3 linked regions of the Cricetulus griseus genome follow. Each later gene encodes a partner of the first gene's protein in a complex. Links are inferred from orthologs where the notes say so. Each region holds a gene or a part of one and is shown in the gene's direction. Other genes may lie near its edges. The genes, in order: Nup58, Nup54 and Nup93.

Evidence for each region.
Region 2: the proteins of Nup58 (region 1) and Nup54 are in contact, whole or in part, in a crystal structure (PDB 4JO7), measured with the Homo sapiens proteins. The link is inferred for Cricetulus griseus from reciprocal best matches to the Homo sapiens genes NUP58 and NUP54. Residues at the interface, in NP_054808.1 of Homo sapiens: Pro342, Tyr345, Phe346, Leu349, Val350, Phe353, Gln356, Leu357, Tyr360, Gln363, Ile364, Leu367, Leu371, Gln374, Ser378, Ile392, Tyr393, Phe396, Leu399, Ala400, Leu403, Ile406, His407, Val410, Lys414, Tyr417, Tyr420, Arg421; in NP_059122.2 of Homo sapiens: Tyr453, Leu459, Glu462, His466, Leu467, Gln469, Gln470, Gln471, Gly473, Leu474, His476, Leu477, Ile478, Ile480, Ile481, Asp484, Leu485, Ile488, Lys489, Leu490, Val491.
Region 3: Nup58 (region 1) and Nup93 share a complex: the UniProt entries of both Homo sapiens proteins name them as parts of the p62 complex. The link is inferred for Cricetulus griseus from reciprocal best matches to the Homo sapiens genes NUP58 and NUP93.

Annotation. Positions count from the first base shown.
Region 1 is NW_023276807.1:215,232,945-215,236,596, reverse strand, and holds part of Nup58 (nucleoporin p58/p45), read left to right. Parts: intron 1-2,817; coding exon 2,818-2,967; intron 2,968-3,652. UniProt on the Homo sapiens protein: Component of the nuclear pore complex, a complex required for the trafficking across the nuclear membrane.
Region 2 is NW_023276807.1:157,229,723-157,233,374, reverse strand, and holds part of Nup54 (nucleoporin p54), read left to right. Parts: intron 1-355; coding exon 356-582; intron 583-3,086; coding exon 3,087-3,274; intron 3,275-3,652. UniProt on the Homo sapiens protein: Component of the nuclear pore complex, a complex required for the trafficking across the nuclear membrane.
Region 3 is NC_048596.1:170,541,495-170,545,146, forward strand, and holds part of Nup93 (nuclear pore complex protein Nup93), read left to right. Parts: intron 1-331; coding exon 332-523; intron 524-1,121; coding exon 1,122-1,248; intron 1,249-1,361; coding exon 1,362-1,434; intron 1,435-1,692; coding exon 1,693-1,737; intron 1,738-2,965; coding exon 2,966-3,082; intron 3,083-3,652. UniProt on the Homo sapiens protein: Plays a role in the nuclear pore complex (NPC) assembly and/or maintenance. May anchor nucleoporins, but not NUP153 and TPR, to the NPC. During renal development, regulates podocyte migration and proliferation through SMAD4 signaling.

The DNA of each region.
Region 1 (3,652 bases):
CTGGTTTTCTAATGAATTGAGTAGCTTTTCTCCTCTCATCTAATATTTCAGAGTAGGGAGGAAGAAAATTAATTACAAAGAATTTTGTCTGGATCCCACATAATTGTTTTTCAATAACCTTTCAGTATTTGGGTATATAAAAAACTGAATGTTTCTGTATCATGCCTTTGTAAGTTACAGATTTATTTTAAACATAGATGACTTTTGATGTGGAAGTTTATGTCATATTACATTTCCAGGTGTTTGACTTTATATGAGAAAGCACCAAACTATGTGACAGTCTTAGAATTAGCCCTGGTTGTATCTCTGAAAGGTTGTGAGATGTTAACTGTCCTATCATACCTTGAAGCAAAGCTTTTAGTTATCTATAACATTACAGAATTATGGGGCTGGGGGCATAGCTCAGTGGAAGAGCACTTGTCCTCCTGTGTGTTTGAGGTTTAATCCTTGCTGCTGCCAAATAAAAGTAAGTAAGTGTGTGTGTGTGTGTGTGTGTGTGTGTGTGTGTGTGTGTATGTATGTATGTATGTATACATATACACATACACTCTAATGAAAGTTTTGGATTCTCTTCTACCTTGAGGACACAATAGTTTCTTAGTGGTAAGATTAAGGGAATACAAACAACTAGAGTGTCAGCCTTTCTTCAGTCTGAACAGCAGTAAATAATGGGTGGCCATAAAATAGAAGGAATGAAGGGATGGTAAAGCCCAGTGTGGTGGAGCATGTCTGTAGTCCTCAACACTCAGGAAGATCAAAGGTTGAGGACCAGTCTGGGCTACTCAGTGGGCCAGCCTGGGGATAGCTAGCAAGACTGTCTCAAGAGAGGTATGTGAGTGTTAAAAGCCTTTTGTGTGGGGTTAAGGTCATCATTGGCAGACTACTAAGATGCTGCTTACTTTGTTAACTAACAATTTGACAAGATTGCTTATGAGGGTGAACATAGACCTTTCTTGTTCTCTTACAACTCACCCACACATAATTTTAAAACACTGTGCTTGGTGATGAACTCCCAGTTGTCCTCAGGGCAATCCAGAAGCATGGTTTCCGACTTTTGCAGTAACTCCAGGAGAAGCCCAAATAAGGGTTGCATTTCTTCATTTAATATTATTTGAGTAGTTAGTGCTTCTGAACTGTGTAGTCTGCTTATACATCATGCCTTGGACATTCAGCATTAACTTGAATTTGCAGTGGTGACATGGTACTAAGAATATGATTATGTCAAAACCGTTAAGTACAGGGGCAAGGTATTCATGAGCTCTGACATGGAGGGACAGGCAAGTGTATGAACATGTTCTTGTGTCTGATACTGTGCTAATGCAGGAATGACAGTGTGGAAGACAGGAGAGTAGGCTTATCTGGAGTTGGGAAATATTTTACATGAAGCAGTTGAAAATATAAAGTTGTAATCATAAAAGGATCTAAGGGAATATAAAATACTGTTCTTGGAGCTTATGATTCAGAGTGGAAATAGGAGGAAGAATTGATATTTAAAAAACTGGTTGAGACCATATAAGAATGAGCAGTATTTTGCCAGGCCTTTAGACTGTTTAACATACTTAAGCGTTCATAGGATCCTTAAGGTGGACAGAATTATTGAAGTACTGTCCTCTCAGCTCTTGCTGTTGTAAAATGAGGTTAACTGTGGTCACCTACCTGGGGCTCACAGGATTGGACCCACTAACATTCCCTCTTGGGGAGGGAAGACTCGCATGCACTGGGCTGCTCACAAAGGCAGGCCTCAGGTCCTCAAGTGCTACCCTTCCCTGAAAGTATACAAGCAGTTTGTAATTGCTGTGGAGAGAGAAACTTTTTTCAGTGGTGTAGTTGCCCAAGCCCTCACTCAGACTTCTTTTGGTCTCCACAACTAAACTCATTGTTGACCAGTGATTCCTTTTGACTTTTTTTTATCTGGGGTGAATAAACACTAGTTCATGTCTCCTAAAGAAAAGTTTATGCCAATACCAAGATGCTGCTAAAGTAACTGAGCTAATACTGAGAGTAGATGAGAGATTGCAGAGACTGACAGATTAAGAGGTTGCTTTAGAGGTGGCCTAAACTGAAGTTTTTGAGGGTGCCAGTAATCCAGCAATATTTTTTGAAACAAAGAAGCTGGTGGTAGTTAGGGTTAGATTCATATACCTGTGGTTGAAATGATAAAAATGGAGAGACCAGTGGAGGAAGCAGCAACAGAACTGGCCTGAACGGAGGAAGAGATCTACAGGCAGGAAAGGAGGAGTGAGAAGAGAGCTTGGTGCTGACAGAAACGGGGGTCCGGGAAGAAGAGGATTTTCAGGAGTACCAAATGATACTTGGGTAGTTTGTGACAGGAGGGACTACTTTTCTGTTGAGAGCAAAGAGAGTTTTGGGGAATAAGTGCTATTACAGGTAAGTCTGGGGATGGAATTGCAATTGCCATTGTGTTTGTATTCTTTTTCTTTGGGTTTTTTTTTTGTTTGTTTGTTTTTGTTTTTGTTTTTATATAGAGTCTCACTATGTCTCTCAGGCTGTCCTGGAAATCACTATATAGACCAGGCTGGTCTAGAACTCACAGAGATCTGCCTACCTATGCCTCCGGAGGGCTGGGATCAAAGGCGAGTGCCACCACACCCATCTTGCATTTCTTTTTCTTAACCCAAAGGATCATCTTTTTTATATTTTTACCATGATTTAGTCCCAACTTAAGTATTTTCTTTCACTTCTACAAATCCTTTTATCCCATTTATGATAAAGGATTATAGACATAAGGATACTAATTAAAACCAGCATAATATCTGTATGATTAAGATAAAATGATTTTTTTTTTTTTTTAAACAGGAACACCAGCTACTACATCTGCATCTACAACAGGCTTCAGTTTAGGATTCAGTAAACCTGCAGCCTCTGCTACACCATTTGCCCTGCCTGGCACGTCTACCTCAGCTAGTGGTCTCACTCTGTCGTCTGCTCTGACATCCACGCCAGCAGGTGAGACAGAATGGGAAGAAAATTGAATGTGATGCTTACATTGAAATTTTATCCAGTTAGAGAACATCAGTGGCCATTTATATTAAATAGAATACCAGGCTGGGAGATGGTGCAGTGGGTAAAGCATTTGCTATTGTTATTATAAGGATTTGTTGTACAAGAATAAAAAACTCTAAAACTCAACTATACTTTGGGAATTTTTTTATTTGAATTAGTTGGCAATTTTGTCTTTTTGAACTATTGGCTTAGTAGTTCACACCTATGATTTGGGAGGATGCCTCAGGAAGATCTTGAGTTCAAGGCAAGGCTTGGCTATGTAACAAGACTTTATTTGGGAAAAAGATAGCATTGGCCATTAAAGCAGTTTGGCCATCTTGAAATATGGCCTCTGTTCAGAATAAAGAGGATCAGAGTGGTGAAATACACAGATGTTTTTTATCTTATTTGTTGTCAAGAGACTTTATGGCAGGATGTATAAAGACATTTGTAAATTCACCTGGCTCAGGATTCATTTGCTTTTAAAGGCAGAAATATTGTCTGGGATACAAACTATATTGTCTAGAATCAGTTATTGGGTGCCATTGGAATAGTGCCCAAAGCTATTTTGTTGAATGAAGGGACAAAGGGGAGGAACCCCAGTTACTGTCTTGAAGTTGCCGTTCTGCTTTATTCTGAGTATTTTCAA
Region 2 (3,652 bases), about 58 Mb from region 1:
TTATGATAGCATCTGTAGAGCTGCTTACTCAGCCATGTCCTCTGCTCTCCCTCCAGAGGGGCCCATGGTGCTCCAGACCTTGACAGCCCACAAGCTATTGCTCATTTAGTCTGCATTTCAGCCATTATCCAGTCTGGTCCTCTTCGACATCCTCAGGCTTTGGACAGCTTATTTGTTTTACCTCTTGGTTCTTTCCTGTCTTGGCTGCATATACTCTCACCCATATGTAGGATAATACATAAATTGGTTCCTTAGTTAGAATATGGATAGCTGGGAAGAGATTTGCTTACCATACCTTGAATCTAAGTTTTCTGGGCTTGTTTTTTTTGTTGTTTGCTTTGTTTTCCTTTTTAAGCTCTAGGCGGTCTCTTCAGTCAGCCTACACAGGCTCCTGCCCAGTCCAACCAGCTGATCAATACTGCCAGTGCCCTTTCTGCTCCAACGTTATTGGGAGATGAGAGAGATGCCATTTTGGCAAAGTGGAACCAGCTTCAGGCTTTCTGGGGAACAGGAAAAGGCTATTTCAACAATAATATTCCTCCCGTGGAGTTTACACAGGAAAACCCCTTTTGCCGATTTAAGGTATCAATTGTCTTTGATCTTCATTTAAAGAGTGACTATAAAAGAGATAGTAACTTTTAGATTAAAATGACATTTAAAAGTGTTTTCTTGAGAACAATATGATTATACTTTTTATTTTAAACAAAAATTATAAAATTAAAGTGATTTTGAAAAAGTATTATATATGGTTCAGAGTGGCCACATAGTCACCAGAATAGGACTGAGAAAAAGGGTGTTGACAGAACAATGGCAAGCTAGCTGTGGTGGTGCACGCCTGAATCCCAGCTCAAGCATGGACATAGAGGGACCAGAAGTCAGTCACCCTCCGCTACAGAGCAAGTTGGAAGCCTATCTCAAAACAAACAAACAAACAAACAAACAAAAACCCAGGGCCAGCAAGGTGACTCAGTGGATGAAGGTGCTTGCCACCGAGCCTAATGATCTGAGTTTGACTCTGCCCAAAGCACATGGTAGAAGACTGACTCCTGAAAGTTGTCTTCTGACCTTTCTGTGTGTGCCATGGCATACCCCTTTAAATAAATAAATAAAAACAAAAACAAAAGAAGGCATGGTCTGCTTGCCACTTTTAAAGGGTACTAGACTTAGGTTGTTTTCATTTAACTAGTCAAGGAAGTGCCTCCTGGCCAGTGCACAGAATTCTCCTTGGCATGTAGAACCCTGTTACTATTATTAGAGTTCGATGCTAAAGACAATAAAAGAACATTGGCCACTTTCTTTGTTCTGCCTCATTGTCTATAAACAACCATCTCATTGAAACTTGACTTCAGGTAGTCTGCTCTTTAGACAGTGGTAGTGTTTTACTTTACCATTTATTTTTCTTTGTTTTTGCTTTTTGTATATGTGTGGTCTCTCTCTCTTTTTTTTTTTTTTTTCATCAAAGAAAAGCTCACAGAAGAGAGGTACTTGCTGTAATGCAGTAATAGTCCAGGCTGACCTTGAACTCATTATGTAGCCATGGTTGGCCTCAAACTTATGATCCTCTTGGCTCAGCCTCTTGAGTGTTGGGATGGTAGGGCTGCATGACCACATCCAGCTGGCAATGTGTTTCCTACATAACAAATTACATATTACAATTAAGTTTATACTTCACCCTGCATTTTTGGGGGAGGGCTGTGGTGCTTGGGAATCAAATCCAGAGCTTCATGTATGCTAGTCACATGCTTTGCACTGCACTTAACTCCAGCACTATGGGGTCATTAAATATCTAATGACATACCTTGGGGAACTCTTCTAAATAGGAAATTAATTAATGTAGCTTCAGCTTGTACATGCAGCCTAACTGTAATTTTATACGGTATTTTTTAGTGTGTTTGTGTACTATGACCCGTCATACAAGGTCGGGTGTAGAATTCTTATACTTGGGCCATCATACTGACAGCATAAAGTTTCAGTATTTGGAGCACTTTGCTTTAGTAATAGCTTTGTACACTAGGGTTATTAATTTCTATATCATCTGAGTGTATTAGTTGAAATTTTTAATGTTATTGTTTAGCAATAAGATATACAATAGGTTGAAGCATCAGTTTAAATGTTTTAACTTTTCTTAAAAGTTGCTATGTAATATACATATAAAATGAATGAACTTAAAATAATTTTATTAAAGTTGCATATAATGGTAACAAAGGACAAATGTTACTATATAAAGCTATTTTTAGCAATGTGTGATTCCTCATTGATGGGGGAGGTCCTGTGTATATTATTGTCTTATTGGTTGATAAATAAAGTACTGTTGGCCAATAAGAAAACAAGATAGGTGGGACTAGGAGTCAAGGAAGAAAGGTAGGAGAAAGCGCAGAGTCACCATGTGAGTCTGGGGAAGATAGGACGCTTGCTACTGGCGTCCGATAAGATAAGTCTTATAAAATATATAGATTTATGGTAATTAAGACTGAGCTAGCAGATGAGAAATCCTAGTCATTGGCCAAGCAACATTTGTACTTAATATAAGTCTCTGTGTGTTACTTGGGACCTTAACGTGGTGGCGGGCAGAACTCGGGCGGCCTGGCGGAAAGCGCCCATGTGGCAGCAGGGCTTGGTGAAAAGACTTATTGTTAACCTCATATTTAATACTATATAGTATAACTTATTCATTTAATATTACACCAATAACCTGTTTCATAGTTTTATTACATATACTCATAAGATAGACATTCTCCATGTCATTAGTATCTTGACAGTGTCATTGTACTTTAAACTTATTTTATTTGTAAATTGTTTCTTTAAAATTTAATTCAAGATTCACGAGTCAGATGAGTTGTTCCAGTGTATAAGAAATGTCCAAAAATGAATGACTATTAAGATCTTCAAGAGAAAATTCTTTAGTTCCTATGTTGGAGAGAAAATTTGAATTTCACTGTTTATGTTAGAGAAATGAAGTTTGTTTACAATATGTGATGTCCCACAGAATGGTTACCATTTCCATCATTTTAGCAGATGCTAAGCTATCTATTAAACATTTGATATAAAGTCTGCATGTATTTTTGATACTTTTGTTTATTTCACAGGCTGTAGGTTATAGTTGTATGCCCAATAATAAAGATGAAGATGGACTGGTGGTCTTAGTTTTCAACAAAAAAGAAGCAGACATTAGAAGCCAGCAACAACAGTTGGTAGAATCATTACATAAGGTTTTGGGAGGAAACCAGACCCTTACTGTCAATGTGGAGGGCATTAAGACACTGCCAGATGATCAGTAAGTATACATGCATACATACATGCATGCATGAATACAGGTTCTGTTGTGGGGTTTGTTGCTGAAACATAAATCTCCAGTTGGTGATTATTAATGTATTTACAGAAATGGTGAAAAGCTTTTTTTCTTTTTTGGATTTCTTAGACGCTAGCATGTAGATTTCATTCAGGAGCCGCAGGGCACATTATGGCTGTGCACAGATTGAATGAAACTTTACTGGACCATTTAGATAACTGGCTCCTTTTGCCTGTTTTGGGTTTTGTTGTTCTTTTTTTGGTGAGTTTGAGAGAGTCTTGCTGTGTAGTGCTGGTTATCCAGAAATGCATTCTGTAGCCCAGGCTAGCCTTGTGCTAGTGTTGCAGAAGTGCAGTGCCATGT
Region 3 (3,652 bases), on another chromosome or scaffold:
AGAAACTAGGTCTTTTTGGTTTGGTTTTTTAAGTCAAGGTCTCTCTCTAGTTGTCCTGGAACTCATTTTGGTAGACCAGACTAGTCTTGAACTCACAGAGATCCACTACCTCTGCCTTTCTGTTGCTGTAACTAAAAGTATTAGAGGCATATACCACCTTGCCTGGATCCAGGTCATATTCCATGTAGTTTAGTTAACTCTGTTCAAGGTGGCTTCAGCTATTTTAGGCTCATGTTGTTGCTTTCTCCCCACCCAACAAAGCCAGTGGATACCCAGGGTCAGATCGCTGGTGGCAGCTTCCTTCTGAGTTGTTTCATCTCGTCTCCTCCAGGCGAGTCCCACTTCACAGTGAACCAGCAGCCCTTCCTCTACTTCCAAGTGCTGTTCCTGACTGCGCAGTTTGAGGCTGCCATTGCCTTTCTCTTCCGCATGGAGCGACTGCGCTGCCATGCTGTCCACGTGGCCCTGGTGCTGTTTGAACTGAAGCTGCTTTTAAAGTCCTCAGGGCAGAGTGCTCAGCTCCGTGAGTATTCAGGCCTTGGCTAGCGGTGGTGTGACACAGCACACCTTCCCATTGGTCACAGTGGCTGTGGAATGACAGCCACCAGGGATTCTGGAGCATTGTGGCTACTTGAACTTTTATATTAGTGTTAGAGTACTTGTTTATAACCCCTTGGCGTTCCCTGGGGTGTGAAAGGGAATGCCAGGCACTAGCTTTGTGGACAGACAAAGCCATTCCAAGAGTCATGAATGTCGTGCCCACTAGGGATTTGGCTTTAAAGACTTTGGAAGCCCCAGCTAGCCACCTCTCTACCCTCCTACCCGGGTGGGAGAGGTGGGTGAAGAGCCAAGCATATGTGAGTGAGTGGGTCAGTATATGAGCCATGATGGTCAGGTACATAGTTATTTCCTGTAAAGGCCAGCGTGCTGGTCATTCACTTATGAGACATTTTCCTCTACTGTCTGTATGCAGGACGGTAGTGAGGCCACAATGGGAATTGAGGAGTGAATGGGTTACAGAAATACGTACTTCTAGGCCTGTACATTCCATTTCAGTGGGTTCTGGGTTGCAGGGGTCAGAGGAGCTATGAGAATGTGAGCCCTTCTGTTCCCATGTGCAGTCAGCCATGAGCCTGGTGACCCACCCTGCATGCGACGGCTGAACTTTGTTCGTCTGCTCATGCTCTACACCCGCAAGTTTGAGTCCACGGATCCAAGGGAAGCACTCCAGTACTTTTACTTCCTCAGGTAAAACCTGTTTTTGCCTTTTTACTTGGCTACCTTTTATTTGTCCATTCTGAGAATGCCTCTTCTTTGATTCCATGCCACAAACCACCCAAGCTGTTCCTGTGCATTTGTAGGGACGAGAAAGACAGTCAAGGAGAAAACATGTTTCTGCGCTGTGTGAGCGAGCTTGTGATAGAAAGTCGAGAGGTAGGTCAGCTTTCTTCTCGCTCTATCAGGAGTCTGCAGTATGTTCTTATGTGACACCCTGTGTGAGCACATTGTACATGGCCTAGGGTGGAGCTTTCTTTGATTTCCAACATTGAAAATATTGATCTCAGCCCCACTGTTTCCTAGTTTGTGTAAGACTTCTCCTTTGCCCCTTTTCTTCCCACCTTTTTCCCTAAGGAATTGTGTGTTACATTTATTTCCTTGACCAGTAAACTAAATAAACCTTTTCCTCCACAGTTTGATATGATCCTTGGGAAACTAGAGAATGACGGAAGTAGAAAGGTGAGTTAAATGTATCCCTAACTGTAAAAGAATATAGTTACATTGTAGGATTCACATCTGGATACTGTAACTTTAACAAAAGAAAGAGGAAATTATAGGACCAACTGATGGCCTTGGTTTTACACACATTTTTGTTTTCTTTAAAATTTATAAATTATGATTAGATAGCCTTTTCATTTATTCAAAGCATGCCTGACATTTTTCAAAAGCTAAGATGTTTGAATTTTTGCCATTGTTAACTTAGAAAACATGAAGAAAAGTTGATTGCTGTGCCTACTCTCCAGATGTAAAAGTTAGAAATATATTTCACTCCTCTCAAAAGGCAGTCCCTGAGTACTCAGAACTCCCTGCCAACCCTGGAAATGCTGTCTTCCCAGGAGCCTAAGCGGTTCCTCTGGAACTTGGCATGCCAGGGGTCACCATAACAAAAGGGCAGAAACCCATTGTCGGAGCCCAGTACTGACCATGGCTTTCCCTGTGTGCCCCACAGGTACTCACTTTTCTTTGTAAAACTGCATAGCTGGCCTAGCAGCCGAGATGAGGGGTCTGATGGTACTGATGGTGGTAGCCCATCTTCTTGGGCATTGTGCCAGGTTATAACAATCACCAACAAAATGAGAACCATTAACTTGTGTTTCCCAAGTGATTTGTTTTCTTCAAGACCACACAACTGGAATCTGAGCATGTGAGCATGTATATTCTGTTGATCCAGGGGCAGATCATCCCAACTTGGTCCAGCCCTGATGGAGCATTAGCATGGATAAGCACAAGTGTTATAGTCCATACCCCTCCCCTGTGGGTCCTGGGGTCTCAGACTCTCCTGATCACATGCCTGCTGTTGAATAGTGATAGAAACTTTTTCCAAAGTACTTACCACCACTTCCTGTGTACTTGTTCAGCATCTGTCTTAGAAAGCAGATTGACACTCTTCAAAATATTTTCTCATAACTTCCTGATTGCCAGCAAATTTAGGATCACTAATAATTTTGCCTACTCTCAGTCATTTTAGAAACCACAAATGTCCTGTAGCCAACTCCACAGTGCTTCCATTAAATATGCTCTATCTTTCTTGCCATGGTTTTGGTGTGAGGTTTATGTCTTCAAAAGAGCCCAAGTCTGGCAAATGAAAACGTGTTGCACAGGGCAAGCATTTCCAATTCAAGTGCTACTGTGTCACAGCTGCTGTGGGTATTGAGTCTCTCTTCCCCTTCGTAATTTGTCTTGTCAGCCTGGAGTCATTGATAAGTTTACCAATGACACAAAGCCAATTATCAACAAAGTTGCTTCCGTGGCAGAAAATAAAGGACTGTTTGAAGAAGCAGCCAAGCTTTATGATCTTGCCAAGGTAAGTGTGCCCTTTTGATGCCTCTTTTCTTCTCTGTCCTTGGTAGATCTGCAGGCCTTTTAGCATAAATGCTCAAGCTTTTCAACATTGTCTTTGTTTATCACTGTCCCTGCTGGAGCACTTTCTCTAGCATGTTAATGGTTAAGTCAGGGTGAAATTCCCATTTTACAGAGTTCTTACTGCTCAAGAGGTGCCTCTGACTAAAGAAGAGCAACGTAATGGATGGCTCTCTTATAGGCATTGTCAAAGCCACCATGGTTTCCCATGGTAGCCTTCTACAGTAGCCAACAGTGCATAGTCCAAGAGCCTGGGTTAAATGCATCTATCTAAGAATATGTAATGACTGCTGATGATTAAGTAACCTAAAAAGAAAGTTTTCCTGGGACTGGAGAGATGGCTCACTGGTCAAAAGCAGTTGCTCTTCTTAAGAATCCAGGTTGGTTCCCAGAATCCCCATGGTGCTCACAACATCCTTAACCCCATGACTCCAGTTGCAGAGATCCAATGCCCTTCCTGGCCTCTGTAGGCACCAGGCATATACATGGTACACATACATACATACATACATAC